Linked DNA regions of Drosophila melanogaster. The protein of the gene in region 1 interacts with the protein of each later gene in a pairwise test. Each region holds a gene or a part of one and is shown in the gene's direction. Other genes may lie near its edges.

What was found.
Region 2: the proteins of CG4730 (region 1) and Acp62F interact in a two-hybrid assay, tested with the Drosophila melanogaster proteins (one large-scale study listed by BioGRID).
Region 3: the proteins of CG4730 (region 1) and CG14011 interact in a two-hybrid assay, tested with the Drosophila melanogaster proteins (one large-scale study listed by BioGRID).
Region 4: the proteins of CG4730 (region 1) and CG13775 interact in a two-hybrid assay, tested with the Drosophila melanogaster proteins (one large-scale study listed by BioGRID).

Annotation. Positions count from the first base shown.
Region 1 is NT_033777.3:25,673,863-25,681,771, reverse strand, and holds CG4730 (uncharacterized protein), read left to right. Parts: upstream 1-3,089; 5' UTR 3,090-3,176; exon of another isoform or gene 3,177-3,187; intron 3,188-3,224; exon of another isoform or gene 3,225-3,234; coding exon 3,235-4,244; intron 4,245-4,305; coding exon 4,306-4,474; 3' UTR 4,475-4,700; downstream 4,701-7,909. Other genes in the region: Idh3g (isocitrate dehydrogenase (NAD(+)) 3 non-catalytic subunit gamma), read right to left, coding at 1-506, 574-651, 749-805; CG4743 (uncharacterized protein), read left to right, coding at 1,286-1,381, 1,434-1,700, 1,764-2,179, 2,292-2,406; CG5039 (uncharacterized protein), read right to left, coding at 2,532-2,558, 2,614-2,799, 2,873-2,995; Lgr3 (Leucine-rich repeat-containing G protein-coupled receptor 3), read right to left, coding at 4,742-5,268, 5,328-5,602, 5,651-6,094, 6,214-6,285.
Region 2 is NT_037436.4:2,735,869-2,742,633, forward strand, and holds Acp62F (accessory gland protein 62F), read left to right. Parts: upstream 1-3,881; 5' UTR 3,882-3,904; coding exon 3,905-4,252; 3' UTR 4,253-4,360; downstream 4,361-6,765.
Region 3 is NT_033779.5:5,577,646-5,585,362, reverse strand, and holds CG14011 (uncharacterized protein), read left to right. Parts: upstream 1-4,246; 5' UTR 4,247-4,397; intron 4,398-4,452; exon of another isoform or gene 4,453-4,460; 5' UTR 4,461-4,471; coding exon 4,472-5,638; 3' UTR 5,639-5,783; downstream 5,784-7,717.
Region 4 is NT_033779.5:6,953,857-6,962,888, reverse strand, and holds CG13775 (uncharacterized protein), read left to right. Parts: upstream 1-5,938; 5' UTR 5,939-6,016; coding exon 6,017-6,271; intron 6,272-6,545; exon of another isoform or gene 6,546-6,581; intron 6,582-6,669; coding exon 6,670-7,632; intron 7,633-7,686; coding exon 7,687-8,304; 3' UTR 8,305-8,434; coding exon of another isoform or gene 8,435-8,496; 3' UTR 8,497-8,532; downstream 8,533-9,032. Other genes in the region: sip2 (septin interacting protein 2), read left to right, coding at 1-994, 1,059-1,298; Hmgcl (3-Hydroxymethyl-3-methylglutaryl-CoA lyase), read right to left, coding at 1,416-2,342, 2,402-2,446; Atac1 (Ada2a-containing complex component 1), read left to right, coding at 2,636-3,706; CG3430 (uncharacterized protein), read right to left, coding at 3,850-4,233, 4,300-4,543, 4,602-5,791; SA1 (stromalin 1), read right to left, coding at 8,435-8,496, 8,562-9,032.

The DNA of each region.
Region 1 (7,909 bases):
TTTTGGCGGGCGAACTCAAAGGCGTAGCGGGCCACACGCTCGGCATTCTCGACGGTCACCACTTTCATGCTCTCCACAATTCCGGGCACAGACTCATGTTCCAACATGGCGTACTCGCCATCGGTGTTTTGGCGGATGAGCACCACGTCAATGTCGTGATGGCGGGCCGGAATGCCCGGATACGACTTGCAGTGCACCACATTGACGTACAGATCCAGCTCGTTACGGATGGCCACGTTGCGGGAGACTTCGGTCAAGGATTGGGACTTGGTCTCGATGTTGCCCTTGAGTGCCACTCCGTTCCTCTTAATCGATGTGATGGCATAGTCCAGATCATCGTTGCCCTCGGTGGAGGGATCGATGTCGATCACCTCGAAATCGATGGGTGCACCGCAATACCGGAAGATCTCGCGCACATAGCCCATCAGTTCAGGACCAATGCCGCCGCCCGGCAGCATGGTGACGGCATGACGACCTCCGTACTGTGCCGAGGGAATATCGGTGCCCTGTTCACGAAGATATATACGGATGCTATAACCTCAATTGGGGGTGAGCTCCAGAGGTTGCACTCACCGTGACTTTCTTCTGCAGCGCCGATTTGGTGTGGGCCACATCCTCGGTCTTCTCCTTGGTCACCAGCAAGGGATAGCCCTACAATTCGAATCGATAAGTACGATCAATAGGATCTGGCAGGCGCGCATTATGTAATTTGCCTTTGTGGGCCAATTTTCCGGCCGAGAAAACTTACGCGAGTGAGGAACGGCGTCTGCGTCTGCAGCAATCTCTGGGTCAAGCGAAGGGCCATGATTTGATCCTTGGATTATTGTTTTCTACCGCTGCAGTTGGTATTCTACTATCAGTTAAATCACAGCCAATTTTATTCCACTTGGCCAAAACGGTGCTGCTGGCTCTTGCCCAGAACCACGGCTTTTCAGGGTTGTCAAGTAAATGGTATTGGTTTTAAAATAATTACTTTGGTGTAAAAAAAATGTATTATAATTATGTGTTTTTGTGAAAAAGCTAACATTTCAATACCATCCTTTTTTTAAGTAACACTTTTGACCAAATAATATATATCTTACATAGAATATATTTATTTGTTATGGTTTCAGCATCTTGGCAACTCTACACCAAGCAGCTGTTATCTGCAGACCTGCCAGATCAGCAAAAAGCAGCTGACTGTTACGTTAACAACCACATTTTATGTTTTTGTTTACTAAAACAACTTTAGTTAATACTCCGACGGGATGACTTAAAGTGGATGCCCCAACATCATTTCTAGGACATGGCAGCGGAATTGGGTCTGGAATCGGCCGCGGGGTCCGTGGCAATCAAAATGCAAGAGCCGGTCAATAAATTAAAATTTTTCCATGCACTTGTTGTAAGTAGATGAAAATTAAATGAAAAGTTAGTTCTTAAATAATTAGTTTTAGGCAGGAGGAGTGGCTGGAATGGTAGTGGACATAGCGCTGTTTCCCATAGATACAGTGAAGACCCGACTGCAAAGCGAGCTGGGCTTTTGGCGGGCAGGAGGATTCAGGGGCATCTACAAAGGACTCGCTCCTGCGGCTGCAGGAAGTGCTCCCACGGCGGCCCTGTTTTTCTGCACCTACGAGTGCGGAAAGCAGTTCCTTAGTTCGGTCACCCAAACCAAAGATTCACCCTATGTTCACATGGCAGCGGCTTCAGCAGCAGAAGTGGTAGGATTTCATATAAAACTGAGCACCTCGTATTTAGATCTGAAGAATCTCTGTATCCAATAGTTGGCATGCTTGATCCGAGTTCCCGTGGAGATTGCCAAGCAACGCTCCCAAACATTGCAGGGCAACAAACAGTCCGGCCTGCAAATTCTACTGCGTGCCTATCGCACTGAGGGATTGAAACGTGGTCTGTACAGGGGATTTGGTTCCACTATCATGCGGGAGATTCCATTTAGTCTGATACAGTTTCCGCTCTGGGAGTACTTTAAGCTGCAATGGACTCCCCTGACCGGCTTCGATTCCACTCCTTTTTCGGTGGCTCTTTGTGGAGCTGTCGCTGGAGGCATTTCAGCGGGATTAACTACGCCGCTCGATGTGGTCAAAACCCGAATTATGCTGGCTGAAAGGGAGAGTCTCAACCGACGTCGCAGTGCCCGAAGAATTTTGCATGGCATTTACCTGGAGCGAGGCTTCAGCGGGTAATTATTTCCATATTAGACGCAACTCAAGCTGGTCCTAATATTTAAACACAAATTAACTTTACAAAACTATTTATTACATTTATTAATGTACTTCGATGTTACTTTTCAGTCTGTTTGCTGGCTTTGTGCCGCGTGTGCTGTGGATCACACTGGGCGGTGCATTCTTCTTTGGCTTCTACGACCTGACGACGCGAATCCTTGGCGCCACCAGTACGGATCATTAAAATTAGGGTTATTTTCGTTGTACTTGTAGTAGAGGCACGTAGTTTGCAGTAGTAACTAAACCGATGACAACCACCGTTTGAAGACAACGTGGACAATAAAGTGTATGGAAGACTTTTGAGATTCACTAGGCATTGGAGGCGTTATTCGCTCCCTGTGGAAGAAAAAGGGCTGTGATTGTATTGGGACATTGTCACGAGCTCACTGACATCCTGAATGTGGAGGCGACCAGTGAGGAGAGTAGCAGTAGTCCTTTGATCTCCCAGTTCATCTCCGCAGTCCATGGGCACATCGGAATCCTCCTCATCCACATTGATGTATCCACTTCGCGGAGCCTTCCTGCTCTTTAGGCAATCCCAGGAATTCCGACAGCGACTACGTGACATGGCGTAGACCTGTGTACACCCAAATGCATAAATTAAACAAATGTACATCCACTTAAACAAACAGACTGTGGCGATAACGCACCAGTGCAGCCAGAACGAAAATGCCAACGAGCACGGAAATTGGCAGCCATATGTATTGACCGTCGTCCGGATGCAGTATGTCCGGTTCAGGACTAATGGTCGTCTGAGGCTCAAGTAACTTCATCGTTTTCAGGGGATGTACAAAGAAATCACAACAACTACGAAGCAAAAAGTTCTCAAAAATTTCAGCGCTCCCAAGTGCTGCCAGACCTCTCGTGAAATAGGTGGCAACCCTAGCACAGCTATGTTTAGTTTTTCTTCACATTTATGGCTAAGAGCGGGGATTTTCAACTGTAAACAAAGAAGTATTTATTAGGTAATCTGAGTAATCTTTTCAATTTGATCAAAATAAGCTTTGCACAGATGGATCCCCAAACATCAAAAGTATGCCAAACGCTTAATTTTACAATAGCAAGGCGAACTGCAGAAGCTCCCGTGAAGCTTGTATCCCATGAAGTCTCACTTTCAGACAGTACTACTTCTTTGGAGCTGAGCAATTGCTGCCGCTTGTGTTTGGAGGAGCCGTATCCCAACCAAATGCTGGACATGACCGTCATCTATGACCAGGAGGCGGCGCTGAGTTACTACGACTGCTACGAGATCTGCACCAAGGAAGACCTGCGGCAAAATCCCAAAAACGAGCCACGAACCTTGTGCAAACGTTGTGCGGTGGAACTGAAATGGGCCTACGACTTCCACAAGAAAATGGCCATTGCCAATCAGCAGTTGAGGGAGATATTTGTGGCAACCGAAGCCAACACGGAACAGGAAGACGACGTGGAGGATGAGGAGAATGAGGCGGATATGAATGAAGAGTTCCTGATGGAAGAGATTGAGGAGAAGCAGGAAACCCCTATCGACAGCTTAGAGGACATTGTGCCACGCAATCGGCATACGGGAAAATCCAACTGCAAGTTCTGCCACAAGGAGTTCAGGAACCATTCCCGCATGGCCAAGCACCAGATGATTCATTTGGCCAATCGTCCCAACTTTCGTTGCAGCCAGTGCGACCGGGTTTACCTCACAAAGCAGGCGCTGAAAGTTCACGTCGATTCGAAGCACAGGCAGTCTGGAGTCCACTGCGACACATGCGGCAAGGTTTTTGCCATTGCCAAAGCCCTGGAGATTCATAAACGCTATCATAACAGAGACTTTCCCTATTCCTGTGATCTCTGTGATCGTCGTTTCGCACAGCGATCCCATTTGACTGTCCACCAGCAGGTTAAGCACTCTGGATCTCGCTTCATTTGCGAGTTTCCCGGCTGCCAGAAGTCCTTTACCTCATCTTCATCTCTCAGGAATCACGAGTGCACGCATACGGCCATGCCATTTGAGTGCGCCCACTGCCATCAGAGCTATCCAGCTCGTAACAAGTTAGTTATTTTGTTTAAAGTGTACATTATTTGAAAGTAACACTCCTTAATAATTTTTTAGACTACGCATGCACCTGGAGCGTAAGCATAACATGGTGGTGCAGATGGAGGACCTGGAGGAAATGCGAAAGTTTCACATCGTGCGCTCCAAGTTGGTAATGGCAAAGATTTACTCGGACCAGAAAGAATCACACCATGCCAAAAATGATAGCGCTGCTATTTCTAAATAAAAAGTATTTAAAACTATTACCAAAACTTAGATAATAGCTTAATCTTACACTAACTCGCATCCCATTTTAAATTCCGTAAAATTGCCTTACAAATATCACATTCAATTTATTTCACACTTTCATTTGGTTATCTTACACGGACAGGGATAGATATTCACATACATATATAGATTTTCGATATCATAGACAAAATAAATGCTGCTAAATCTGGTGGTATACAAGTTCGATCTGCGCCACAAGAATCCTTCAGTTCGACAGCGTTAGGACCTAATGGCATCTCATCGCGGCTTTGGCAAAGATCGTGAAGTCATCCGGATGCTGAGAGGATCCAGTTGCCGTGCCCGTCGTTGTGGTGGCCACATTTCCATTGCCAGCCTCCGCTCGCTTTCTAGAAGTTATCTTCTTCCAGCCGCGAAGGAAGATTTGATTTCGGTACTTGGGCGTGGTGAAGGTGTACAAGAGAGGATTAACCGCCGAGTTAAGTGGCAGCACAAAGACCACCAACCAGGCGTAGATGTCATCGGAGATATTGTAGTTGAAAAAAACCCAGATCTTCATAACGATGATGGGCACCCAGCACAGGAAGTCGGTCAGCACGATGAAAAAGAATCGCACAGCGAATTCGCAATCCAACAGAGTGAGCGGAGTGGCGCTCCTCGTTCGCCATATCGAAATAAGGAGTGCCGTGTAGAGCATCGCAATCATCACCAGCAGCAGCAGATTGACGCCCAGGAACACGAAAGCCGAGTAAAGCCAGCCCATCGGGAAGGCCTCGTGGATGTGCAATGGAAAGCCTGTTAAGTTTAATTTCGTCACTTGGTAAACTACATTTTATCATAAACATTGTGCTCACAGGTTCCGGAATAGGATCCGTAGTAGGGTAGGGTACTGGTCCGCCACAGGAGCACCGGTGCCACAGCCAAGCCCACGCCCGTAATCCAAATGCAAATCAAAGCCAGCCACATCACCCGATTTCCAATGCTGCGATGGCCGCGAAAGGGATCGGCGATCAAGAGAAACCGCTCCAGCGACATAAAAGCCAGGATAAGCATCGAAACCTCCGAGGAGCTCACGGCCAGCGTTCCAATCAGTGTGCACTGCCACGAGGTTATCCAGTCCAGCACAACCCTAAAAGATTGGGGCGTAACAAATGCCAATCCATCACATTTGACTTACTTGTAATACTCGTTGCGGTAGCGATAGTCCTGCACTCCAATGGTGACCAAATAGAAGCCCATCAGCATATCAGCCAGAGCCAGATTCCGAATCACCATTGTCACAGCCACATTCTCATCGCGGTAGATAAAGCGTCCCCATAGGACTAGCACATTTCCAGCTATTGTCAACGTGGCCATCACCCAGGCGGAGTAACGTAACACTGGTTTGCTCAGAAGATCTTGAAAGGAGCTGACTCCATCGGTGGACGGCTTGCACATTCTCACCCGCGGCGTCATTGAGCAGTAGAAGAATCGATCGTAGATGATGTACGTCAGGTTGCGCATTGAATTGATGGCCTCGAAGTCGATGTGATCATACCGAATTCCCGTGAGATTCAAAAACGATATATTCAGTGGCTCCATTAAACTGCTGCTGATGTGAATCGGCATTAGGGCCAACGAACTTAAATATTGGTGAGAAATTAAATGAAATCATATATTCAAATCAAATTCAATCCCGTTTTAACAACTTCATGATATATTTTGTGATTTTTTAAATTAAAACAAACAAAGTATACTCACAGTGCCTCCAGTCGAGTGTTGTGCAAAAATGTTTCGCCAGATAACTCCTTAATGGGATTACCGACAAGGCGGCTGTAAAAAGAAACGCACGTCTTTGAATTATTCGCAGATTTAACGTTGCTCATACGCCGCGTGGGCCACGCATAATGGCCCTGCATTTGGTGCTGATAAAGCTGACTTTAAAAGGTTAAAATAACAATTTTCAGCTTGGCGCGGCTTTAAGCCAAAGCCACAACAAGTTGGCGGGGGCTTTTGAAAGTCACATAATAAAATCCCCGGCAGCGTAATAACGAAAATTCTTATTTAATAGCTGGCTGAGTATAAATCAGTGCACAAACATTGTCTATCAGTGTGTGGAATAGATGCAACTGGCCGGGGCTTTATGTGCTGGCAGGAAAGGACGCATCATTCATGGCAGACAGGATGCGGCACAGTGGTTCCAAAACCACATTCTTTGTTTAAGAACTCTAAAAGTTTCCTTTCAAACTCTGCGAGAAACAACCGATTTATTGACACACACTACGTGTGGAGAAAGTTATTCGGCTTTATTATTATTATGATGATGTTTTCTCCACCGCTCCACCGTGTCACGTCCATGGGAATCGCAGCAGCTGATGCGAGATCTGAGGAACTGAATCTGATGAAGATGCTTTTGTGGATGTGTGTGAGACAGTGGATACTGACGCTGAGCTCCATTGCTTGCACTTGTCTGGTCAATCAATGCCCGAGCGCCAACTGTTAACAGTTTGTTTTTATGGTTTGTCGCCCAAAGACAATGGCCATGCCCACCACCCACGACCACCCACTCCCACCAAGGAGCCCACCAAGTTGGTAATTGGTGGCTGGCTATAAAGTTGCAGCGCGGGCAAAAGCTTAAACTAAATATTTAACTTGGCCCCAAATTGAGCCGTCGAAAAATGGATCCTACCCGGCGGCCAAATGATTTTTATTATGTAAATTTCTAATTAATTATTGAGGGGCAGGCCTCTTGGATCGAGTGGCCTCATGATTTTGCCAGTGCTTCCAAAAGACCGCACTTAATAACTTCATAAATATCCGGCCAAACCAGACGACACACGAGCACAATTAACATATTTCTCTGGGAGGGCAACAAGTTGCAGTGCCTCGTTTATGGGCCTTCGCCCCAATAAGCCCCAAGTAATGCCCATTGTTCATGGACGAGCACATCCTCCGGTGGCCACATTCACGTGGCCCATTTCGTTGGCCCATCGCAAGTGCGTCAGAATCAAAAGGCCTAAGTAAACGTTGGAGGGCCGGCTGGTGGTCATTGCGCATTTAAGAAAATGACAAATAAATGCCCCCTAGTTGGTTTTTGTGCGCTACGTGCAAGGAGCGAAAAAGCATGGCGGAGAAATATATCTCCAATGATCGAACAGGTTTATCTATACTCTTTTTCCAAAATCCTGGTATAATAAAAATCTAAGAATTACCTTAAGGCTAGCATATACTAATTAAGTTTATATCTAAGTTATGTAACTTCACGTGTAAGAATGTACAAATTATCCAACTTAGCATAGCCTAGCATATTGTTAGTACTTGTATATCCACCTGTTTAACTCATTCAACGCACCCCATTTCGCTCCAAGTGCATATTAACCAAATGAAGCCATTTGCGCTTCCCTTGCAAATGACACGTTTTAGTTGTGGATTCTTTTGGGGCAATGTGCTCCGCAGA
Region 2 (6,765 bases), on another chromosome or scaffold:
GACGCAGGCCTGATTGAATTGAAAGTTAATTAGAGAGAGAGATAGATGTGCTGACCGAATGTTCCGGGAAAATGTGGGAATAGTTTGGGGGATTCGTTCGGGCTTACCCATTTTGCATAGGGTATCCGCCTTCCGAGAAACAACTCGTATAAATAGACCCAAAACGACCGTGTTTTTCGTAAGGGTGTGGCCGTCTGTGTGGGTAGTGTCCTCAATTAAAATTAATTATGCCCAAACGATACGCTCAATAAAATTTAATTTGCGAAAATATGAGCCAAGAAAATGAGCCACATAGGAAAATGTGACATTTAAGTGCCGGGGGCCAGCATCCTCAAACTATTCGCCAAACAACAAACACACACAGTCGGGTCTAATAATTGAAATTGAATTTTCAATGATAGCAAGGCGAGGGCCCAGCGATATTTTAGATTTATTTAGATATGTGTATCCACCCCCATGAGCCGAAATGTTTGGCACACTATTTAGAAGCAATAGGACTTGGGTTTTATTTTCCCGAGATTTCACCTCACCCTGGATGACTAGCTAAGCTCTAGGAACACCTCACCTACATACGAAATGGTTCAGATTTAACTGGACCTGGCATCGTCACCCAGAAAAGCAGTCAGTCTCCAGATCCCCCCAAGTGGAATAAAGACTAGACACTTGACCGGATTCTCGTTCTGCATTAAATTTTGTGCGAGTAAGCTGACGACTCTCTATTCTGTTTTATCAAAACCAAACGAAATCGCATTAAAAATAAATAAAATTAAAAGTGTAAACTGCACAAACACACACGACTTTTGGCCATGCTGCGTGCCAAGTGGAAAATATTTCGCAAGTTTTTCTACACATTATTGTGTGAAAAATACTATATACATATAGTGTACTATATATATACACATCTGTGTAAAAAGTCGGACACAGGCAGGCAGGCGGCTGCCTGTGTGTTATGTTTAGTTTGCTACGTTCAATTTGCATTGTTGTTGCCTGCTATTCTATTGTTGCCGGCAAAACAAAATAAGGCAACGCAAAATGCTAGAATGGGCGAAAAAAAAAACAAGGCATAATAAGCAGGCAAGAATAAAAACTACAAAAAGAAAGCAAAAAAAAAAAAAAAAAAAACGAAGCATAAAGGAGATGAAAATGAACATTTTTTGGCAAACAATTCAGGGCTAAATATTTTCATTGTTTTGTTGAGTTTTTATCACAACACCATAAGTTTGTATCCAAGTGGCAACAGGAAAAATCTAGATAAAATCATCAAGATTCTAGCAATTTAAAGTCCCGCATTATTTGTGTGCGAATCATACGATATTTTTGTTTTCTTCCTGTTTGTAGTTAATTTAAAGGAAATCCCAAGGATTTGCATCTCTAAGTTATTGGGTAAACATTACGAAATATACAAATAATGTGATTATAGTTTAAACATATTTATTAATAAGATGCACAAGGTGACACTCTTTGTGTTTCTTAGTATGGGATCTTTTAAATTTAGTAAAAGGAGTTAAAGTAACAAAACAAAGCAAAGGCATTTAAAATGTCAAGATAAATCCCATTTGACGCTTATCCTTGGGACTTTGCAAAGTTAATGGATAAATATCGAGTGCCATGATAAAGTTTGGTTAGTTCAAAGGGTTTTGGGGTTTGGGGTTTGAGTTTTGGAACCCGCACAATCGCACGCACACATTTAATTGCAGAAATGCTTAATTATGCATGAAACACTGAAATAAGCAAGACGCACACACACATACACTCACTCACATCCAGCGAGGGATGAATAATTCATGGCAAAACGGAGAATTCGTGGATCGGCTTTGCCCTTCCCTTCCCTTCCCCTTCGATTAAACAGCGCGCGTTGGTAAAACAAACAAATAAACAGCATAGCCAGCAATATTTTGTACCTCCTAATGACGTACTCTTTCCAGACGGCAAAAAAAAAAAAAGAAAGGAACACGAAAATTGAGAAAACTTTTGCCGTGCAATTTGCACGTCAACATTTTCCCAAAACACCGAAAAAAGTAATACTAATGGCAGGCACAACAATATTTTCGGCAGCGTCGGCGGTCAAGTTTGTGTTGTGATGTTGCATGGATGCCTCCAGTGGCCATACCCTTCCCCCAAATCGGCGAAACCAAGGACATTCAATATGGGAACGAGGTGAGAAACGATTAGACAAGGCCTCGTTAGCTGGAGATTACAGTGAACACAGTTGAAATTCCACATTTGGAAATACCCTTCAAATCCTATACTCAGATATTTGAGTTTCAAAAGATCACTCTAGTATGAATATATCTTTTTTAAATAGCACTCAGTTATGAAGTGCAAATTGAATGTTACAATTCTTAAAATACTCCTGGTTTTCATTTGCGAAAGTGCACTGTAATTCTTACTAAACATAAATGACATCTCACTCTCGAATGGATTCCCATCGATTGGCCACAAAGGAAACTCACCTGCAAAGATACAAAAAGAAAAAATAATTAGCAATAAAGCCAGCGAGCATAGACGAATGTAATTTGTCTAAGCAGAATCAGAATTCAGAAGCCGAATGGGAGGAAGAACGATTTTCTTTTGGTTGCCACAAGAACAAGACTGTGAGCTTGTGTGTGGGTTGTCAACTGATTGCGCATACGCCGCGTTGGTCAACGCACTTTCCAAGGCTGCGAAAACGCGAAAGCAGCTGCAGCGCGCTAGTCGCTAATCATAATTTTTGATCTACAAACTAATTAGTGTTCGCACGAGTGTGATTGCAATTTATTGGACACCAATTGAGACGAAAGCGCGCATTTTCATTCATAAACATGGCAAAATACGGGGACCAGAGCGAAAAAAGGGAACTCAATTTATTAATTGCTAGCAAATGTTGGGCGTGTGTTGCAAGAGTTTTGCCTTTGCGATCGCAATTGCGATTGCATTAGCCATATTGCAATTATGTCGTCATGTCCGCGTCGCCGCCAAAGTTCAAAGTTGCAGAATCTTTAGAACATAAAAGTTTTTCGCACGTTCCGCACATGGTGGTGAAGAGCAAGGAGGGCCGGAGGGAGGAGGCAGTCACTGTGCGCCGAGAATTATTCATGGCGCATATTTCAGCGGTTTGGCAATAGCCCCCCACCTTCCACACCCCCTCCCAAGAGGCGAAATAAATAATTGCAAATATTATTGGCCACTCAGCGCATGCCAACAATAAGAACTGCAAAAATAGCCAGCGAAATTTGCAGTTCGCATAGTTTCGCAATAAGTCGGCGGCAATGATGACTCAAGAGTGCAAAACCAAATATTATAGCCATATAAAAAATATGTGGGAAATTATGCATCTTGGCATGGCACTTGGGCATCCCGATGCGATGAACTGAAATCTGACAGGTTGAGGAGGTACTCCTGGGTCTGGTTATTCTAGTCATGATGGGCTAGTCAATTGGCAGGATTCGCGTCTCTATTCAATTGGCCGAACCGTTTCAAAACTATTTCAAGGCTTTAGGCCAAAACGAATCAATTTGAAACACAATATTCGTTTTTGACAGTGATTAAGCGAAAATAATCGCTGGTGGGAAGTAAATCAAAGTGGCTACACTTATAGTACTTAATCGTTTAATTAGGCTGTAAAATGTTCTACAATCTACAATCTGCTGCCAAAAAGCATTTATTTTATACTAGGATCAACGAAAACTAAATATATTTCCCTCACTGACGCGCCTTTGTTTTAAGTAACATAATACACTATTTTTTTTTTTTTAAGATTTATTGTCTTTCCATTGATATCTGCAAGTCACACAAATGGTATAATGGTCTGAAACAAAATCGCGTAGCAAATCTAATTTCAATTTCTATACTAAAATATCAGACGGATGGAAATAAATAGGGCGCACACATCAGGGTAAAATGGTAGACGTATTCCCCATCTACAATGACGGACATGTGGAGCTTGAAGATCTGTGCCTGTCTGGGCCTTCTATTACTTTTCAAACCCATCGACTCCATGGGATGGCAAGGACCTAAAGTTGACTGTACGGCCAACGGAACTCAGACGGAGTGTCCTGTAGCATGTCCTGAAACCTGCGAGTACTCCGGCAATGGACCCTGCGTCAAGATGTGCGGAGCTCCTTGTGTGTGTAAGCCGGGATATGTTATCAATGAGAGGATTCCGGCCTGTGTTCTGCGATCCGATTGCCCAAAAGATGTTGTTCGAAAGGAAGATATGCTACTGGGTGTATCGAACTTTAAGTGCTTTAGCAGAAATTACAACTGTTCATAGAAATTTATTAGGAAGGCAGCTAAACTTTAAACTAAATTACAATAAAATGTAAATAAATGTGTAGTAAATTACAAGCTATAATTACAAGATAATTACAAATAGTAAAAGAAATCCGAAATGTTAGTTGCACTAATTACGTAACTGGAACGAAGTTGCATAGCAAATATAATTTGTATTGCTGTACTAGCAACCTATAAGAATACTTTCGAAATCTTCATTCCACCTGCTGCCCAGTTTTCCAGCCAAGTCCTGCCCACTTCTCATTTGCCCGAAATGCCACTGCAAATGTGGCGGTGCAACTGTTACCAGGCGGCTGGTTGTGTTTGTGACCGCCATGTGCCCACTGGCAGCCACAGAAGCGCACGTCACCCGCACATACAGTCATGACCATTACAATGGCTATTAAGAGAAAGAAAACGCATTTCTTGGCAAGCGGTCTCGTGTGCTACGGGTCATTTGGGCGGAACTATGTGACTGCAATTGGGGGACACAGAAAAATGGGGATTTCAGCACCAATCCATGCGAAACGCGGAACACATTCGATATGGTAATCACATCGGAAATTTCACTGTGAATTATTTAGAACTGTGTTATTCCTACATGCTTTTCGAGCTGAACAATAAATGCACAGAATGAATACTTTGTATTTGCTGGCCAGATTAGGCGCGGTGATGCATGGTGCTGCAATTGGGATTTAATTAAAAACTTAGTGGGCCAGCAACCAAACGGCGCACACTTTGATTTATGATTTAAGCCAAATAGTTTTAAAGCGCCGCCGACGTGGTATAATTCTCTTGTATTTTGCATGTTAAATTTCGCGTAATAACGAAAATGATATATAGAAATAATCATAATTTTCACACTTGAAAGAGCGACACAAGACGTCCACGGCGACGACGCCCGTTCGCATCGCGGCTTGTGCATTATTTCTTAATTAAATTTATTAATTGCACACAACACGAGCCGACGGCCGTACAACGGGGCGTATGCGCAACGCTCGCCCCCGCCATGAGATTTAAATGAAAATGCGAGCGAGTGAGAGGGAGAAAGAAAGGCAAAGAAAAGCCATTTGAATGATTCATTTACGTGTCGAAAACTTAATTGTGCTAGCAGGTAAGACGCTTGTCGATGACGCCAAAGGCTAAGAGGACAAAAAAAAACAACATTATCATCATCACCATCCGAATCGCAGCTGAACTGGGCTTAAGAAAAATGGTCAAACCAATTATAAGACTTCTGTGGGCTATTTCATTTTGTCATTAAGAAACTCTAGTAGTTGAAGAACATCCAAATTTGGTCACAACAAGGCAACCATATCAGCCATTATGCTTATACCAATTTTCACTTTTCACTTGCTCTTTTCGCACGTCACTAGGGGTTTTTCACGATTTTCTTGAATGACTGCCTGCAGCATCCGCGCATCCAAACAGCAGCTGTCAGCCCAGAGTATATCACCGTCATTGGGATCTGTCACAATGGCGAACTCTGGGGCATTTGTCACCCAGTCACCTTTGCACCCGCGAATTCCCCGGCAGTCCGCAAAAGCAATTAGTCGCAACAGTTCCTAAAAATGTGTCATTTTCGGCCAAAATAAATACTGAATTATTTTTGTGCCACGAATATTTTTAGCTATTTTGGTCTAAGCAAACAAAACTCAGCGGGACTTTGTGCTGAGTATCTCTTCGAAAATTAATTAGCAGCGTAAAAGCAAGAAATGCAACTGAAAAAGAAGCCACAGGGGGCAACAGGGGGTTAAAGCGAGCATCGTCCTTGGCCAAATACTTTCCATGACAGTTGTCGAGTCAATTTAATTAGTTAGATACCATTCTTGAATGCAACCATTTCAGAGAGCTCAGGAGATTTGTGTAAAATAAGTAAATATTTTGAAAAATATTCTTTTCACTTGGTGCATTGGAAACAATACTTTCGACTCTTTTAGGAAAACGTCTCTTTTTTCATGGCCCACAAATTATTGCTATAGCTCTTATAAATCACTTCAATATACTTTTATATATCATGTACGCCTTTTCTTTCAGTGTGCAAACCAAAGCAACGAGTGTAATTGCCTTCGAAATGCATGCATCTAATTTGGCCACATTTAATTCAGCTCTGTAAACTTTTCAATTTAAACTTTTTTTTTTTAATTTTTGGGCAAATATACCATTGCATAATTCGTGTTGTGTACACACTTTTTCCATTTGCATCGTCTCATTTTAACTTTTCCCTTTGATTCGCCCCGCCTTTTTGCCGAAATCTCGCTTCTCCCCACCCGCTTAGAGCAAACATTTGCATAATTTAAGTTTGATGTTGAAAGTTACGTGTTTGCCAGCGAAACGACAACAAGCTACCTGGCTGAGTGAACCGTGAACTCAACGGCTCAATGGCTAAACAGGTGCAGCGCAGGTGAATGAGCCACCCACACACCCACTGGCGGAAAACGCCACCCAACTGCAACATTGTCGAATGAAAAATTGAGAGCTTAGCGCATTTGCTAGCAATGTTGCCAGGGAAAA
Region 3 (7,717 bases), on another chromosome or scaffold:
GAACATAACTAACATAAAATCGTATGACACTAACATAGCATCGATCATAATACAACTAGTAGTGTGTTTTAGTACTTGATTGTTTTATATTTACAATTGGATACATTTGTTTTGCTCCCACTGCCTACCTATTCCACATTCAGTAGCTTCCAGACCCATGTTGAACATCCTCAAACATCACTCACTCATAATCCATCCACTCGAGGCAATCCTCTCCAGCCGCCCACGTTATTGATCGCACGACATCAGTTTGATAAATATCTGGTCCATTGTGTGAGCATAAAACTCGGCATCGACGGATACGCTGACCTCTTCCAGCTTTCCTTAACTTTGCACCTGCCTTTGTCGAGCATTCAATGGTCGGACGGACCTGACTCCCCTTTTTCCAATGCATTATTTATGGGCACAGCGAGCAGTCCACCTTGGCGCAGTTGTTAGGATGGTGGGGGCGCTTCATTGTTTTTACCACTAAACACCTGGCAATATATCTTCTTTTTTCTGCCACTGAAGCGCGAGTTTATCTATGAACTGGCCCTTTTTATTCCGCTTTATCTTTGTGAACGGCCATGAAAGATTGAGCTTTTCTTATGCAAAAATGGTCGCGCTGTTCAATGGCAGCTCAATGTATGTGTATTTCGAACGACCTTTCCTAAATCCAATACTTTCGCAAGTCCTGACACTATTGTAATCCAATAGCGACCATATCGAGTAATTGCCCCTTTTGAATTGAAGAAAAAACCTTGAGCTGAAGCCCCAAGATTATATGCGTCCAGGTTGTGCAGCTCCATTGGCACGCAAGAATTTTAAATCAACAATTAATTAAGGAGCAAATTGAAATTCATGACTGTCGCTAATCAGGCCCGCATTTACATGAAACCAATAGCTGAACGGTGGACAAAAAAAAAAACTATTAAAGGGCAGAGGCAAAAAACCGGCAAAATTATGTCAGCAATTAGGCAAACTATGACACTCGAAAGAGCAACTCGCAACGGCGAGGGAGTAGAGCGGAAAATCGAGGGACGGAGTGGAGTGGATTTGAACGCAGACGGTGGACGATGGCGAACGTGGACATCATTAAAAACTCATTTACATGCAGGCTGGGCTGTGTCGCAGGACATTTGGCCGGGAAAGGACGGATCCGGCTAACTCGGTGACTCGCTGACTCGGTGACTGGGCTGACTGACTGGCCTGACTGACTGGGGCAGTTTGTTAATTTTAGATTTGAGACACGTCTCCAACTCAATTTTATCGCATGTTACGCCTTGCTGCCTTTCGCTTTACGCCCAATGTCGACGGACTATGGACAGCGGACTGACATTTCCTAGCGATTTCCCCTACCCATGTCGTGAATTTTGATTTCAAGTGTCGCCGTTTGGCGTTGTCGTCGTCATTTTCATCCGAAGACCGGCCCAATTAGGGGGCAAGGTATAATTTATGCGGCTCAAGGATCTCTCTACAAATTGGCCATTGTTGCCACTGCCATTGATAGCATCACATTCCATCGCCTTCCAGTCAAGTGGTATTCCTCACACGCCGAACTGGTCGCAATACAAAGTTGAACAATGGGGCATCATACGCAAAGTTTTAATATTATTTTTGCATAATATTTTCACAGCCGAGCAAAGTTTTGGGACTAGGCTGGCCACCTGACTGACCGCACGCATGGGAATTTCGCCAGGTGCTTCGCAGCAAACTCATAAAGCTAATTAAGAAATGTGCCAAAGTTGCTCTGCAAAGTTGTGTGGCTTACTTCAGGCCAGCTCTGTCTCTCTCTGGAAATTACGTAAATTTATTAAAAGCCGACAAAGTTTTAAATGCACGGCCAAGCGGTACGTTTTAATTCAATCAAATATTTAGACTTGCAAAGAGTCGTTCTTCTCTGGAAATGTCGACCAAATCTTAGCACATTCTAAACATCTACGCAAAAAAGCATATTAAAGTTAAATTTGCTGTAAAACCGGAAATACCCTATGAAAAGGGTATGGAAGTCCGGAAGTTTGACTAATAGTTCCAAGTTCCAGGCGTTGAGTGAGATGTAAAGTCCAAAGGAATGCGCTAGATGGCATAAACACTTCTCAAACAACAATTTCGCATATTTACTTATGCAATATGACTATCTTTACCAGCACAACTGAGCTCAACTTCTTTTCGGGCTTTTATTTAATCAGGCATAGTTCAAAAGTTGTGAGCAAAAACTTTTGGCCCAGCAATTGTTTTGCTCAAATGCCTTTGACATTCTGCTCGGCTCTGTTCTTTTGCGACATGAGATGCGAATATTTGTCGCAATCAAATAAAAACTTTGCAGGATTATAAAAAGGTAAAGGAGCAGCTGTATTCCCCAAGGAAATGGTAGGTAGGCAGTCGGTGCGCGGCAAGCGCAATAAGCCAGCCTAGCCACTTTGGGTTGAAAAATCTAATAACTGGTAAATCACCTTGCAAAATGTTGTTCATTTCACAGCGCTATAAACACGCATCGAGCCTCGTCCTTGGGCGGCCGACCTCCCCTTGTCGACTTAAACACTTACAACGACTTAACCACCTTTTGTTATTTTGCCTGCGTAGCCCTGTCTGTCACTTTAATCTGCCTGCCACACGCAGAAGAGCCAGCAAGGAGGCGAAAATCCAACGAAGGACACTCACATGGTTGAAGTTTGCATGCCTGGCGAGGCTTGCAAAGTTATTAACACGCGGCTCCGACTTAAATAAGTCATATTCCAGCCGCCTTTCGGGCTCAGCTCACTGCCTCCTTGACTGACTTCTTGTCTGGCTTGCAAAGGAGGTGAGGAGGACATTAATGGGGTTTTCCTATTAATTGCACGACTGGCCTGAAAGTGAAAGCACTGAGCAAGAAAAGTTGGCCAAAGACCGATCCAACGTCTGTGGCAAAAGTGGTTCGTTTAAGTTTAGGGCAATAATGGTAGAAATTTTCACAAATCATGTGGGAACACAATGACACGAAAAATGTATTAATTTTAAGTTAAGAATTTACTCAGCTTGGAATTGAAATCGATTTGATAATTGACAGGTATGTGATAGTCAAGCCGTTTATTTCACTACTTCCCTAGCACACCATGTAATCAATGAGATTGTACAATCTTTCCATTAACGTTCCAAAAATTTCTTACAAAATTATGCGTTTCGAGTAAATGTACCTTAGGGTACCGATTTCGATTTCTATCAATAAAAGTTTTGTGAAATACATCTACCGCTAATGGAAATTCATGTTTCGAGGACGGCCATCTGCGTTGGCTGTCGATGAAGGCAAATCCTGTTGCAAATGTCGCTACATTCGTGCGACTTGTTTGTAAATTATAAAATAATGCCGGTTGCATTTCCAACGACGTCTGCTGCTTCTGATTTTCCACTTTTCCGCTTTTGTTTTTCGGATGTGGTCATAGGCTGAGGGGGCGTGGTGGGAGGGCCTGCACGGCAATTTTTATGCCAAAGTGGCACATATTTGGCTTAGCTTTTAAACATCGCGACTAGAAATCATACCTGAGCACCAGTGGCAGTGGCAGCATATACTTTTTTGGGGGCAGCTAGTTTTTCGGCTGATATATAAAAAAGGTTAGTGGAGTTGAAACCCAACTGAAATAGGGCCCCCTTAATCCCCCCCAAGATCAGCCTCTGGCTTTGAGCAGCCGATGTGATGTAGCAGTGAGGCAGTGTGGCATGTCTGCCACGGCAGCGTACTCGACTGTCGGCGCTGTCAAATAACTGACATTACCTTGCCGCCACAGCTGCACCACCGCACCACCTCCACCCGGCTTGTAGAGCCGGTGAGCCACTGCACCACCGCAGACGACGCCGTGTTGTCGTCATCGCTCCAGAGCCGCGCACTTTCGTGACTATGAACAATAAAAATTTCGATTAGAATGTAAGAGCAACAACCGTTCGCGGCAACTTCAGCTGCTGCAATCAAGTTGTGCGCGGCCCGATCGGCAATCCGTGGACCCGGGCTTGAGTGGGGGAGCTGTGTGCCACAGACGTAGAATTATAATAGGAAAAAAGAGCTAAATTGCATATTAATAGAAATTGAAACCTAAATGTTATGCAGCGCAAAGCGTGCGGTAGACAACCATTTCATTACATTGTCCTGAGCTGAGAAGGGTGGCAGCCGTCGAAAGGGTGGTGCAAGGATATGTAGGACATACCCATGCAATCAAGGGTATGTCGTATTCATTCACATTTAAACGAAAAGGGGAAAATGAACCTAAGACTATTCATCTCATTTGAGTTTTATGTCAAGAAACGAAAAAGTTTATTGTTCGCTATTCCAACACACAAACTTAAACACTTTTCATAGACTTCAAAGTTTATCGGTTCTGAAGCCAGCAAGGTGTTCCATAAATCGTCCCTGACGACGTATTGAATTTGAATATTGGCTACACAAGAAGGTAGGTTCATCTGCCCCATAAAGATTACTATCTGTACTCAGAAGAGGAATCCTAGGAAAGAAGAGCACTGCAAAATGGCATTTCTGGGCAAAGTCAACAGTCAGGGAACCCTTATCGACCATGAACTATTCTGCATGACCCAGCCCAGCCAGCAGGATTCAGATGGCCAAGCCAGAGAGATGGGGGCTCGTGTACTGCTACCGCGAAGAAAGGGTTCCAGGACTTTCATCAAGACCTGTGACAAGGACAGCCTCGTGCGCTCTATGGGTAGCCCCAGCACAGTGCGCTACGTGGGCAGCTCCGAGTCGTCCAGTGAAGTCAACTCATTGGACGAGACGGAGACCTCCACTCTGCGCTGCTGCTCGGATTTGTCCCTGGGCACCCTGAAGTCGACCAAGACAATTGAGGGGCCCCGCGTCGGTGAACTGGGAGAGGATATCGAGCTGCAGACGGAGTCGGAGACGGTCTGCCTGCATCTGGGCAGTCCCAGCAGTAGCACCAGCACGGACCGGAGTAGCTGCAGCAGCCGATCCTGCCCCTCTTCCCGCAGCGGCAACAATTCCAGCGACAAGGACTCGACGACCTCGATGTGCAGCTGGGAGGAGGCCATGTCCCGGGACGACAGCATGCTGGCCCCGCTCGAGTTGCCACTAAGCCACAGCCTGCCCTCGCTGCGCCTGGGATCGAGCGTAGGATCGCCGCCCCTTACCTACACCCGCCGCATCGAACCGCTCCATATCCGGCGGTCCGCCGGTGAGGCCTACGAGAACTGGCTGTCCGGCAAGCAACGCCAGTGCCAGTACAAGTTGCAGGCGCAGCAGGCCGAGAGAGAGGCGCAGCGGCAGCGAACGGAGCTGAGGCAGCGGCTCGCCAAGGAGAAGTACGAGCAGTGGTGTCAGCAGAAGGCGCAGCAGACCACCAGTACCGCCAAGCTCACCAAGCCCGACCGTTCTGCCCAGCTGCCGCCGCAAAAGAATATGGCGTCTGTGCAACATCACCTGCAGGAGTGGGAGCTGCACAAGCTTAGGCTGCTCGAACAGCGTCGCCTCGAGCAGCGGAATGCCGAGCGGCGGCGCCAGGAGGAGAAGGCCGCCCGCCGCTCGCAGGCGGAAGAGGCCTTCAGTCGGTGGATGAGCAACGTGGCCCAGAGGCCCAAGCCCGTCCCCTCCAGCCAGGGAATGAAGTCGCTGCGCGGCACCGTTTCCGACATCTTTATAAACCCCAAGCAGTGGGTGAATTAAGCTGGTCGGATTTGAAATGGTCGGAGGTGGGGAGAAGTGTATGGCCTGGACAGGCTGCCTAAAAGGTGAGAGTTAGCTCGCCCTGTGAAACCAAAGTTTTAACAAGTGTAACCATATTTATTTATTTAGCACTATTAAATACCCGAAAAGAATGTTTCTTGGTTTAGTTTTCTAAAGTCATAGTAAGCCTTAGATAATTGTAATTTTGATAAATTTCCATAAGTGAATATGTAGAACAGTTTGCACCTTAAAGATGATCAGTTTACTAGCTCTTAGCAGTTAGTGGCCACTTGCTCATTAGTGGGTCAAAAGCATTCAGTTTACCGCTACACAATCATACAAGGAGAGTCGGTGGTCCGTTAATGAGCTGCATTAAGCTGACCCCACAAAGGAGATGTTGCATGCCCCCGACGGTACACATGCTCATCATCATTAGCAAATGCTATAAATCATATATATCCAATTTGACCGTCTAGGCGATATATGTCTATATTCAGTCTCAAAGTGTTCAAATGCATTTACAATGCAACAATTTATGTGAAATTTCCATAGTAAAGGCAAGAGGTAGAGAGATATAGTTACATCGACTATAAGATATCCATTACTTGCATCGCTTTGCTCAAGATTGCAAAGATGATTGAATATGTCTGTATATTTAATGAAATAACATTTTATACACTACTGCTATATATTTCTCAAATTTTCACTCACAACAATGTGAGCACATGATACACTTTTTGTCTCAATAGCAAACGAGTATATTTTTGTGGTGTTTTGCTCGTATTTCAAATATTAGTATAATGGAAAATGCCGGTAACGAAGCGCATTCATTATGCCAAATTATTTCGATTCCCAATCGAATTTCTCGACTTCGAGCGCACACAAAATGAATAATGGGTGCAAAAGCAGCAATAATGCCGCGCAAGAAAACAAAACCGCAGGCCTCAATTAATTTTTTCGCACAAATCGCGCGAATAATCAAAAATTAGATAGCCACCTGCTGACCTGCTGCTGCTGCATTTGTTTTTAATGCAGCTGCATCGAAAAACAATAGCCAGAGATGCCCGGTCGAAAAGCTGTTATCCCATGATTGCGGTGAGTTTACGGGCAGATTTGCTTAGGCCTCGCTGGTCGTTACGCAGTTGGCAGTCGTGAAACAATAATGTCCGCAAATTGACGCCACAAGCTGTTGGTTCAATGAGAGAGCCCACTGGCACGCACAGATGCACAGATGCACATGCCACTGCGTCTGTGGCACTTCCTCTGTGCCGCCATATTGAATTCGAACCCATGCAGGCTGCTCGACACTCCAGCTTTTCCCCGTATTTCCACGGGCTTTCCCATGTACCCATCTACCTTTGCCCACTTCCGTACACCGTAGCTTTGGATCTGCGCTTTGGGCTCTTTTGGCGCTCCTCCGTGTTTTGGTGCGGTTTTTATTTGCCAGCTTGTTTTCTGCTGGTTAGCCGGTTGAATTTCCCGAATTTTCCGGCTTCCAGGCAGGCTGCACTCCGACGTCATCGTCGCGCGTGTTGCCGTCGAAAAACAAGCAAACATATTGACTCCCTTTCGAACTCATAGCTCCAGCTCCAGCTCCTCCATCAGCTCCTCTTCTTCCTCCTGCTGCTCCCCCTTTTACATCCCAAGCAATAATTAACGTTGTGGATGCCACGGCAACACGTTGTCTAAACGCATTGTTAGCAGATTGCTGGACAGGAAATCTGGTAAAAAAGATTAGTCACTCTTTCAAACAGCACGTTCACTAAATTGAATGATTATATATATCCGCAAGCATTGTTTGAAGTGACAAAAATGCTATAGGTTGAATCAACTTTAAGTGGAATTTGATGGACAAATTCAACTTTATAAAATGTTTTTTGAAAAATCAAAAATTTTATATAAGACAGACTTTTTAAATGATACAAAATCGAATAACAAATTGCTTAACCTAATTTGTACTAATATATATAATAATCAGTTTACTTGTATAATGAATTAGTGCTCTTTTACACACACATGCACATCGAAAAGAGCAAATTTCTCTTGGTTGAAAGGGATTTTTTGCTGGTCGAAATATCC
Region 4 (9,032 bases), on another chromosome or scaffold:
TTCTTACGAAACAGCCACGGATACTTCCCTCAGTGGAACGCTCCTAAACGTCGACGAATTGTTTTACGCCGCAATTGCCAAGGCCAAGCCACCAGGAATGTCCAAGGGAGAGGAGCTGGAGCTCTTAAGCGATCTTCATGGCAGTCTTAGAGAGCTGGCCTCACTTCCGAAGGATGAGGTCGAGGAGGAAGAGGACGATATAGAGGATACAATAATCGAGCTATCCTCTTCTGACGATGAAGAAGTGCAGCTAGTTCCAGAAGTAAAACAAGAAGACACGTCCCGTGTGTCCTCAGTCCACGGAAAAGATCACACTGAGCAGAAACCAGCGGAGAAGAGCGTTGAAAATAAGGAAAATTCGTTGCATTTCAATGATACCATGGAAGAAATGGAGTACATGATGCAAAAGGGTATGGAGTACATGGCAGGTGGGGCTCCTTCAGTCGCCGCAGTCAAGGCAGATTGCCCTGTGCTGCCCAAGACCAAACAAAGCACGTTCGTTGTTTCACCGAAGCCGGAACCAAAATCACCGGCTGTAGCCTTTTTGCAGCCATCAATTCCGCTGCGGTCATCTAATCAGCCACAAACAGTTGTAGGTTCATCTAGCACGGGTAGAAAGCCGCTCAATGTCGGCCTCACCATGGAGTGGACCAAAAAGAAATTTTTCAGTGCAGCCTCTGGTATTCCTCAGCGTCGCCAAAATCAGATAAAGCAGCCATACGCCAACATAGTCAGTCCCATACGCACCTACACCCAGAAGTCTGGTACTGCTCCGCTAATGAGTACATTCCGTCCAACGAGTTCTGATATGCTATCTACACTGGCCATCAGTGAGTTGGAGCAGGAGTCTCGCTTGTGTCATCCTAAAGCACTTTTCGCAACAAAGGACGAAACACCCAAGTCCAGTGAAGCGGAATCTTTAATTATCAATGGAATCGATTCAGCCGCTGATCTGCTTCCCAAAAAGGCTTACATATCTTCCGAAATCAAGCATGTAAGTTTAAATTTATATATAAGCCATGATGAGTGAACGTAAACTAATACCTTCCATTGAACAGGTGGTTGATGAACGAACTCCTTTGCCCATGCCGAAGGTACCTCAAATTCAAAAATACCTCAACTCCGCCGTGGAGCCTACTGTTATGCGCCACGATGGCAAAATGAAAATGCCCGGCGAGGCAGTCCGCAATCCGTCGTCTTCGCATATCCCACGACGCGCCAATCACAGCCTGGCTGATCTGTCGCTCGCCTCAGGCGACGTGTCCTTATACACAATAAGAGATGCCCAAAAGTTTTAAGGCCCATAAAAGTACTTCACGCTCCTTGACTAAATATTGCAACGATAATAAATGTATTGTGTAACTAGTGCTAGTAAATGCCTTCGTTTTCGTTTGATAGTATCAATGCTTGCATCATCACTTAACTCGCGCCTGCGGTCCCTTCCACGCTCGATTAACCTTGGACTCTGAGGTTCTGCCCAGTTCGGTGCAGATGTACCGCCCCACTTGGATCAGTTTGTCTAGGTTGACGCCAGTATCGAGGCCCATGCCGTGCAGTAAGTAGACCACATCCTCGGTGGCTGCGTTGCCTGACGCCCCCTTGGCGTAAGGACATCCGCCCAAGCCAGAAACGGAAGAGTCCACCACCCGAATGCCATAGTCCAGTGAGACCAGTATGTTGCTCAGAGCCTGACCATAAGTGTCGTGGCAGTGCACGGCCAGATCTTTAGCCGGGACGACCTTGGTCACCTCATCCAGCATTCGGCGCATTGTGCCTGGAGTGCCCACACCAATGGTGTCGCCCAATGAGATCTCATAGCAGCCCATTTGGTACAGGGCTTCCACCACTTTGACGACAGCACTCGGCGCAACAGCACCCTCGTACGGGCAGCCAACCACGGTGGAAACGTAGCCCCGGACGCGCACACCATGCTTTTGGGCTGCTTTCAGCACAGGTTTAAATCGTTCGATGGCCTCAGCTGCCGTGCAATTAACGTTCTTCAGCGAAAACGCATCAGATGCGGCTCCAAAGACTGCCACCTCCTCGGCTCCCGCCTCCAGAGCACTCTCGAATCCCTTCAGATTAGGCGTGAGGACTGGATAGCTTATACCAGTCACTTTGCGGATTCCTTTCAGCACTTCGGCATTGTCGCCCATCTGTGGCACCCATTTGGCGCTCACAAAGCTGGTGGCTTCTATGGTTCGCAGTCCTGTTTCGGACAATTGGTTGATCAGCTCGATCTTGGTGGCTGCCGGCAGGAGTTTGGGCTCGTTTTGAAGACCATCCCGCGGTCCAACCTCCACAATTCGCACCTGATTGGCCGCGCTTGTAACCGCCGTGCGCTGTTAGTTTTAAAATTATTAAAATATTGTCAAGTGCGTTCGATTTTCCGTGAAATTACCTTTGCTGTAAGTGCAAGGATAGAGCGAATTGGTGCACTTATCATTGCTAAATTTGTAAATAAACGTTACGTATTCCGCTTCTTCTTTTTTCGCTGATAACAGCTGATAATGATCCAAGATCGATATGTTGCTAAATTTCGATAACTGTTTTGCTTAATGAGCTGCCATCTCTAGCGCAGAGGCGTAAACACATTTTTTGTATACAAACGGGTATTTGGTGCTAATTCTTTGTAATGGAAATAGCAGAGATATCTGCAGAAGATGAGGATGTGTTTCACTTTGAGACCGAGCACCTGGCCCTGCGTGGCAACCAGTGCTATACCAATTTGCTGCGCACTTTGGCCGTGCTGCAGGCACAAAGGATTCGGGTGCATCAGCAGATTGAGGAATTGGAAGCCACACAAAATATCTACTTGGAGAATCCGCAACATATGCTGGACAAACTGCGAAACAACGAGCCTTTGATAGCGGATAATTACATCACCACGACCGTTCTACCGGACTTGCCAACTCTGTCGCCCAATGACGAGGAAGGGGGCACAAATGAGACACCGACCGATGCGTCTTCATGGACGCAAGAGGCGAACAAGAATCGGGACAGGAGCAATGGACGGTCGGAGAATTTCAATCGCTTGTGGACCAACGAAGAGCAGAGTCGCTTGGAGCAGCTGCTCATCCAGTATCCGCCAGAGGAAGTGGAAATGCGCAGATTCGGGAAGATAGCGAAGGCCTTGGGCAACAGAACGGCACAGCAAGTGTATAGTCGTGTCCAGAAGTATTTCCAAAAGCTGCACGATGCCGGAATGCCTGTGCCCGGTCGCATACCCAAGCATCGACGTCCTGGTTTGAGTAAGCCGAAGATCAAACTTCGCAAGTCAACCTTCTTCCCCGCTCATAATATATCGCTACAAATGCCAGAGGACGATTTCACATTTGACGACCTGCGAATCCCATCGCCTGCGAGCGATATGCTCCTTATGCCGGCATCCAAGATCGAACCAAAGATCGAATCCGAGTACATGGATGCCGATCTGAATGCGGAGTCAAAGCGAAAACAGGAACTATGCCTTAAGCTTCTATCAGCCATTCAGGACGAGAAACGGGAAATGGAGGACGGATATGAGCCAGACTTGCTGGCCGCCAAGTGTGCCGAGTGCGAAGAGGCATCTGTGACCAGGACCCAATGGCGTTGTAACAGTTGTTATTGTTACCTTAATCTGTGCGGAGATTGCCTGGCCAGTCAGCTAATCGAAGGGCGTTTCGAGCATTTAAGTCATGAAGTTGTAGTGGACCAAGAGTCATGACGCTCCTAGAGTCCCATTTACTTGAGTACTAAATTACTAGACTTGCCTGTAAAGCTACAAATTAAATATAAAGAGAATAATTTTAAAAAATTCTATTTTATTTATAAAAACTTAATATTAAATGGTATAAAAGAGAGGCCCTCTTAATTGCGCAATTGGGCAGATGATTTCGGCAGAGATTGAATACGCTGGCGACGCTTTGCTTCGAACTCCGTAGCCAGCTGCCATGTTTCTTTGTCCAACGTATCCTTCCCCCGGGCGATGCCCAGCAGCCGTGAGAGGACCAGCAATCCATGCAGATCATCGGCATTACTTTTGACATTAGCTTTACGCATGTCCACGAAATCCTGCTGGATCATTTCAGTGTGCTCCTCGCTCACGTTGAAGCCGCTAGTGCGCGCTGTGGTCAAGTACTTGCGAAACTGCTGCAGACGTGATGGCTGCAGATAGTGGTGGGCTGCCTTTAGAGATTCATCAACAAGTTCCACGGCCTTAGAATCGGCATTAATGGGCAGCACAAAATCGCTCTGAAAACATATCATTAATAGTTTCTATTGGATATAATGATTATTTATATAAACTTATATTCTTACCGGCAACATACTTCGCCCTTCACTGAGCACGAGAACTGGAATATTTGCTTGGTAGTCTATTTGGTAATACTGAAAGTCGCACTTCAGTTCCTGATTATTGATCAAGTGCGCTAAATGCTGAACGGCATGAACACCATTGGCCTCCAGCTTGCCCTGTTGCATGCACGTCTCGTCGAGCACCAAATGCGTATGGGGAGCCAACTGTAGTACGCCGGAAACCAGCTTGTTTGTCTCATAATCCTTCCTGCAAGTACTCATTAATAGGTATTCAATTTTATACTATTTCTGCTTAGCCAACTTACTTTGGGGCAAAGGCTGCCGTGTTTAGTGTGACGAGAGTCATGGGCATGTAATGGCTGGCCGGCAGTAGCAGCTCCAGAATTTGATACAACTTGGTTGCATACGCCTCACAATTCTTAGGGAGATTACAAAGGTTAAGGGCGAACTTGCCGATGCTCTGCATCTCAGAACGACTGTAGACCGTAGATATTAGGTGGGAGAGCAAATACTCGGCAGCCAGATCGTCATCAAAGAGGCAGAGTTTAAGAAGCATGCGCAGATCTTTGTGCACAGCAAGGTGGGTTGGATACGTCTCCTCACATATTTCCGTTGGCTGTCGAAGGCTTTTGTCCAGCAGCGGATTGGCATGCGGCAGCACCTGGACTCCGAAGGCATGCAGGCGGGGTATAAGAAATGGCGATGGATGAGCTGCCTGCAGTTCACTCAAGTTTTCACAATCGTCTATTTCCAGGGTAGCGGCGTCTAGTGAAGCATCCACTGACAGAAAGCCCACAAAGTCGACCAGCGAGTTAAGCTGGTAGGTATCGAACTCCTCGTAAACCTTTACCATGCATGCCATGCTGGGACGATCCGGCAGAGGCGAGTTAATCAGGTAATCAGACCCAAGAACAGAGGATTTGGAGGCGCCGACTGGCTCGCTATCTTTTTGAATCTCTTTTAGGCAGGGTCGCTTGAACGTTGTTTCGCTCGCAACGTCCACATCCATGGCTTCTTCTTCGCCTACAATAGTCCGCTTCTTGGCTGAACTGGGAGATTGACCCAGACTGGCCAAATCGATCTGGGGACAGCACAGCTTCTCATGCTCCTTGCTCCAATCGTTCAGACCAGGCACAGAGACCACGAACATGGTACGCCTCTCTCCATGCACGTTTCCATCGGCGTTGTAGTCAATCACTTCGCCATTGGCTATTTTCAAGCAGTCCCTGTACTTTCCTTCCTGTACACGTTTGCTGCCGTCGGCGGATTTCACTTCGTAGCGCTCCAGATAGATTTCTGGGTCCATCATGTCCTGGATCATTCCACGAAAGCGCACCAGAGTCTGATCCTTCAGCTTGTGAAGAGGCGTGTAGTTGAGCAGGGGAATCGAGTGCCAACGACTGGGATCCTTGAGCAAGTCCTTGAGTGCAGCGCTGTCCGCTTGCTGGGCGGCCAGTTCATCGGGCGTGCTGGGCAGCTCCATCGCACAGGGCATTATCTAGTTAACGAATGAATTTGCAAATGCCTCAAAAACCTCGAATGCAAAAAACAACAGCTGCTTTGGCGCGCCAAAAACTGATTGCAGCATATTAGTGATGGTCATCGATGGGCCTATCGATATCTGCCAGGGATGTCGAACTCTGCCGCAGAACGGATGTAGAGGCGGATGTGGACATCCGCAAAAAATGTACAATTTGAGAATTACCAAAGAATTGCAGCGATGAGCAAGAAGAAAAGCAATGTGTGGCAGTACTTCTACAAGACATCCGGCACAGTGGCCACCTGTCTGCTGTGCAACAGGAACTACTCGAGGCGAGGACGCGGCACAACATGTCTGCGGAATCATCTGAAGAGCAAGCACCCACCGGAGTTCCTATCTCTATCCGGGGACATAAAGTACCTGGACCTGGTTAAGAGCGAGATCTCCATCGGTTCGCCACAGCACCCCACAGCCCAGCTAGAATTGAATCTGCACGTAAGTGGGATAGCATATAGATGTGCATACATACCTATGTACATGCATATGTACTGTGCAAGAAGTGTACCTTATGTGAAATCGGGGTACATGCCCTTCTAGATATTCTGTCATGTGGAGATGGTTTCCCCAAACTTAAGTTTCCATTCAAATATAGTTTCTTTGGTAGTTCATAAAGTAATTTATGCCTTCTCTTATTTAAAACTTTTTACTAATATAGCAACAGCGGATGCGGATTTTTATCCGCGTTTGGCTAGATCGGCAAACATGTGTTGTGTTTATAAAGTGTAGTTAAGGAGGTTTTAAAAATGTACTGTTATGGTCTTAGTATTATATTTTTATAAATTATGCGTTTTTCACTAATCTGATGCATTAAATTATTCTATTAATCATTTTAGGAAACAGATTCAGATCCATTGGACACCGAGGATATATCCTACAGCAAACGCTGTGATGAGAAGTTGGCCCTCATGCTACTAAATCACTCCTTTGAGTTCATTGAAGGACCAGGATTCGTAAATTTCATTAGGACGCTGCAGCCGCGGTACACGATTCAACCAAGGAGCTACTATGAGAAGATACTGTGCGAGGATATACAAAGGAAAATGCATCAGCATTTGAAGCAACAGGTGGATCTGCTGGATGCCATATCGTTGTCTACGAGTCTCTGGCGTGGTGACAAAGGCGAAGGACTGCTGAGCTTGTCCTGCTCCGGAATATCAAGGGATTTTCAGACTCACCGCCTAATGCTGAAATGCGAGGCTCTGAATTACGAAAGCACTTCGAAGCTAGCTTGTTGCATTCGAGATCTTGTGCCCAGCTTGGCCATTGAGGTGCCCAAAGAGAAGATACACTGCGTAATCAGGGACGAGATGACGGCGCTGCCAGGTTCCCTGCCCGATTGCAGTGTGCACCGCCTGCAGATGTGCGTTCGATTTGCTTTGCAATCGAACGAATTACTGCAGAACCTTTCATCCAAGTGCAAGCAAATAGTTGACCATTTTGCGTCGTCTAAGATGGCCAACGATCATCTGAAATTCATTCAAGAGATCCGCTTGACGCGAGACCCGTGCACACTTACACCTTACGATCCCTGTCAATGGAATTCCGCTTTTCAGATGATGAGCAGCGTGTTTCGAATGAAAGATGCTCTATCCTTGTACTGCGAAGAGTATAGTCTGGTCCAAATATATCCAGATGAATGGATAGAGATCGATTTGTGCAGCAAAGTAATGCAGCCTTGTGAAGAAACAATCAAGATATGGAGCAATCCATCTACGACCACCTCATCCGTAATCCCGCTGGTTGCCGCTTTACGGGATTCCCTCCGAACAGATGTCCATAACTTTGTCTCATCTGTGGTAAGTTGCAGTAGATAAAACCATAAAGTATTGTCTAATATTTCGAATGTCTAGACTATATGCAGTTTCGCCAGAAAGTTGCTTGAAGAACTGGAAATGAAGTTCGCCCACATCACTAGCGACATCAACTTTTTGATGGCCACATATTTGGATCCGAGATATAAGCAAGCATTTTTCACCGAACGTGAGGAGCAGTTGGTGGCCAATGAAGTTCTGCTTCAGCTCGCTGGAGTGCCAGAGGATTGCAATGGTCAGCCACCGCTGAAAATAATCAAAGTGTCATCCACATCGTCCCAGAAGAATGAATCAAAGATCGATAGCATTCTGGATAGCATACTGACAACTGGAACGACGAACACTCAACAGCCAAATACGTCAATGGGCTCCCAGTCTCAGATTAAGAATCTGCTATATCTATACAACTCCGAACCCAGAATCGATAGGAACATGGATCCCCTGATTTGGTGGAGGAGCAACATAAAATACATATCCTTGTATGGCATTGTTAGGAAATTCTTATCAGCACCAGCAGCAAGTGTGGTTAGTGAAGGCTTATTTAGAAAATCAACGCACTTGTATTTCGACATGCAGGCGGGCTTGAGCCCCGAAAGTGCATCCAAAATGTTGCTCATGAAGGCCAACTTTAGCTTTAGCAATTCGGAAATCAATTAGGATACAGTAATTTATATAATTTAAACGTATTTATGTACATAATATTAGCTTTAATCTTACAACTACTTGATTTTCCGGAAAATTAGATTTTGCACTTAAGCCGCGTGTATGGCTGATTGCCTGATGGGTCCTAGCCCCTGTAATCAGGATCATTGTGTTCCTCTTCGTCTTCCTCCTCCTCCTCTTCTTCATCTAAATTAAAAACATGTTTTTCATAATGTTGATTCTAAATAAAATGAAAGCTATGAAATTCTTACCATGATCTCGACGTTTACGTGTGTAGGCTCGTTTGCTGGCGACGGGCGCTTGATCAGTTTCGCCATGTAGCAAGGAATTGCGATATAATATCAGCGGCTGCCATTCCTCAGCTCGGCTGGATGGCATTGCGGGTGGTATTATCTTGTCCAGAAAGCTCATTATGACCTTCTTGTCTTGCTTCAGTAGCTTGTAGTTGAACTCGTTCAAAACCTCCAGGAAGAGCAAGCGAGTTGGAGCCCGCACCGGATCATCTGGCTCCTTGTTCGCAGCGAAATAAATGCCACCACGATGAATGGCGGCCACAGATTCGCGATTCTTGATGGCATCGAAACCAAATGTGAGCGCAAATCGCTTGGCCAACTCCTTGAGGTCCACAAACTCTTGCGAACTCTTTGAAACTATGCCATCCTCACTCTGCTCCTGCAGACTCTTAAAGACTGTGATCAGGCTCAAAAGGAGCGTCATAGCGA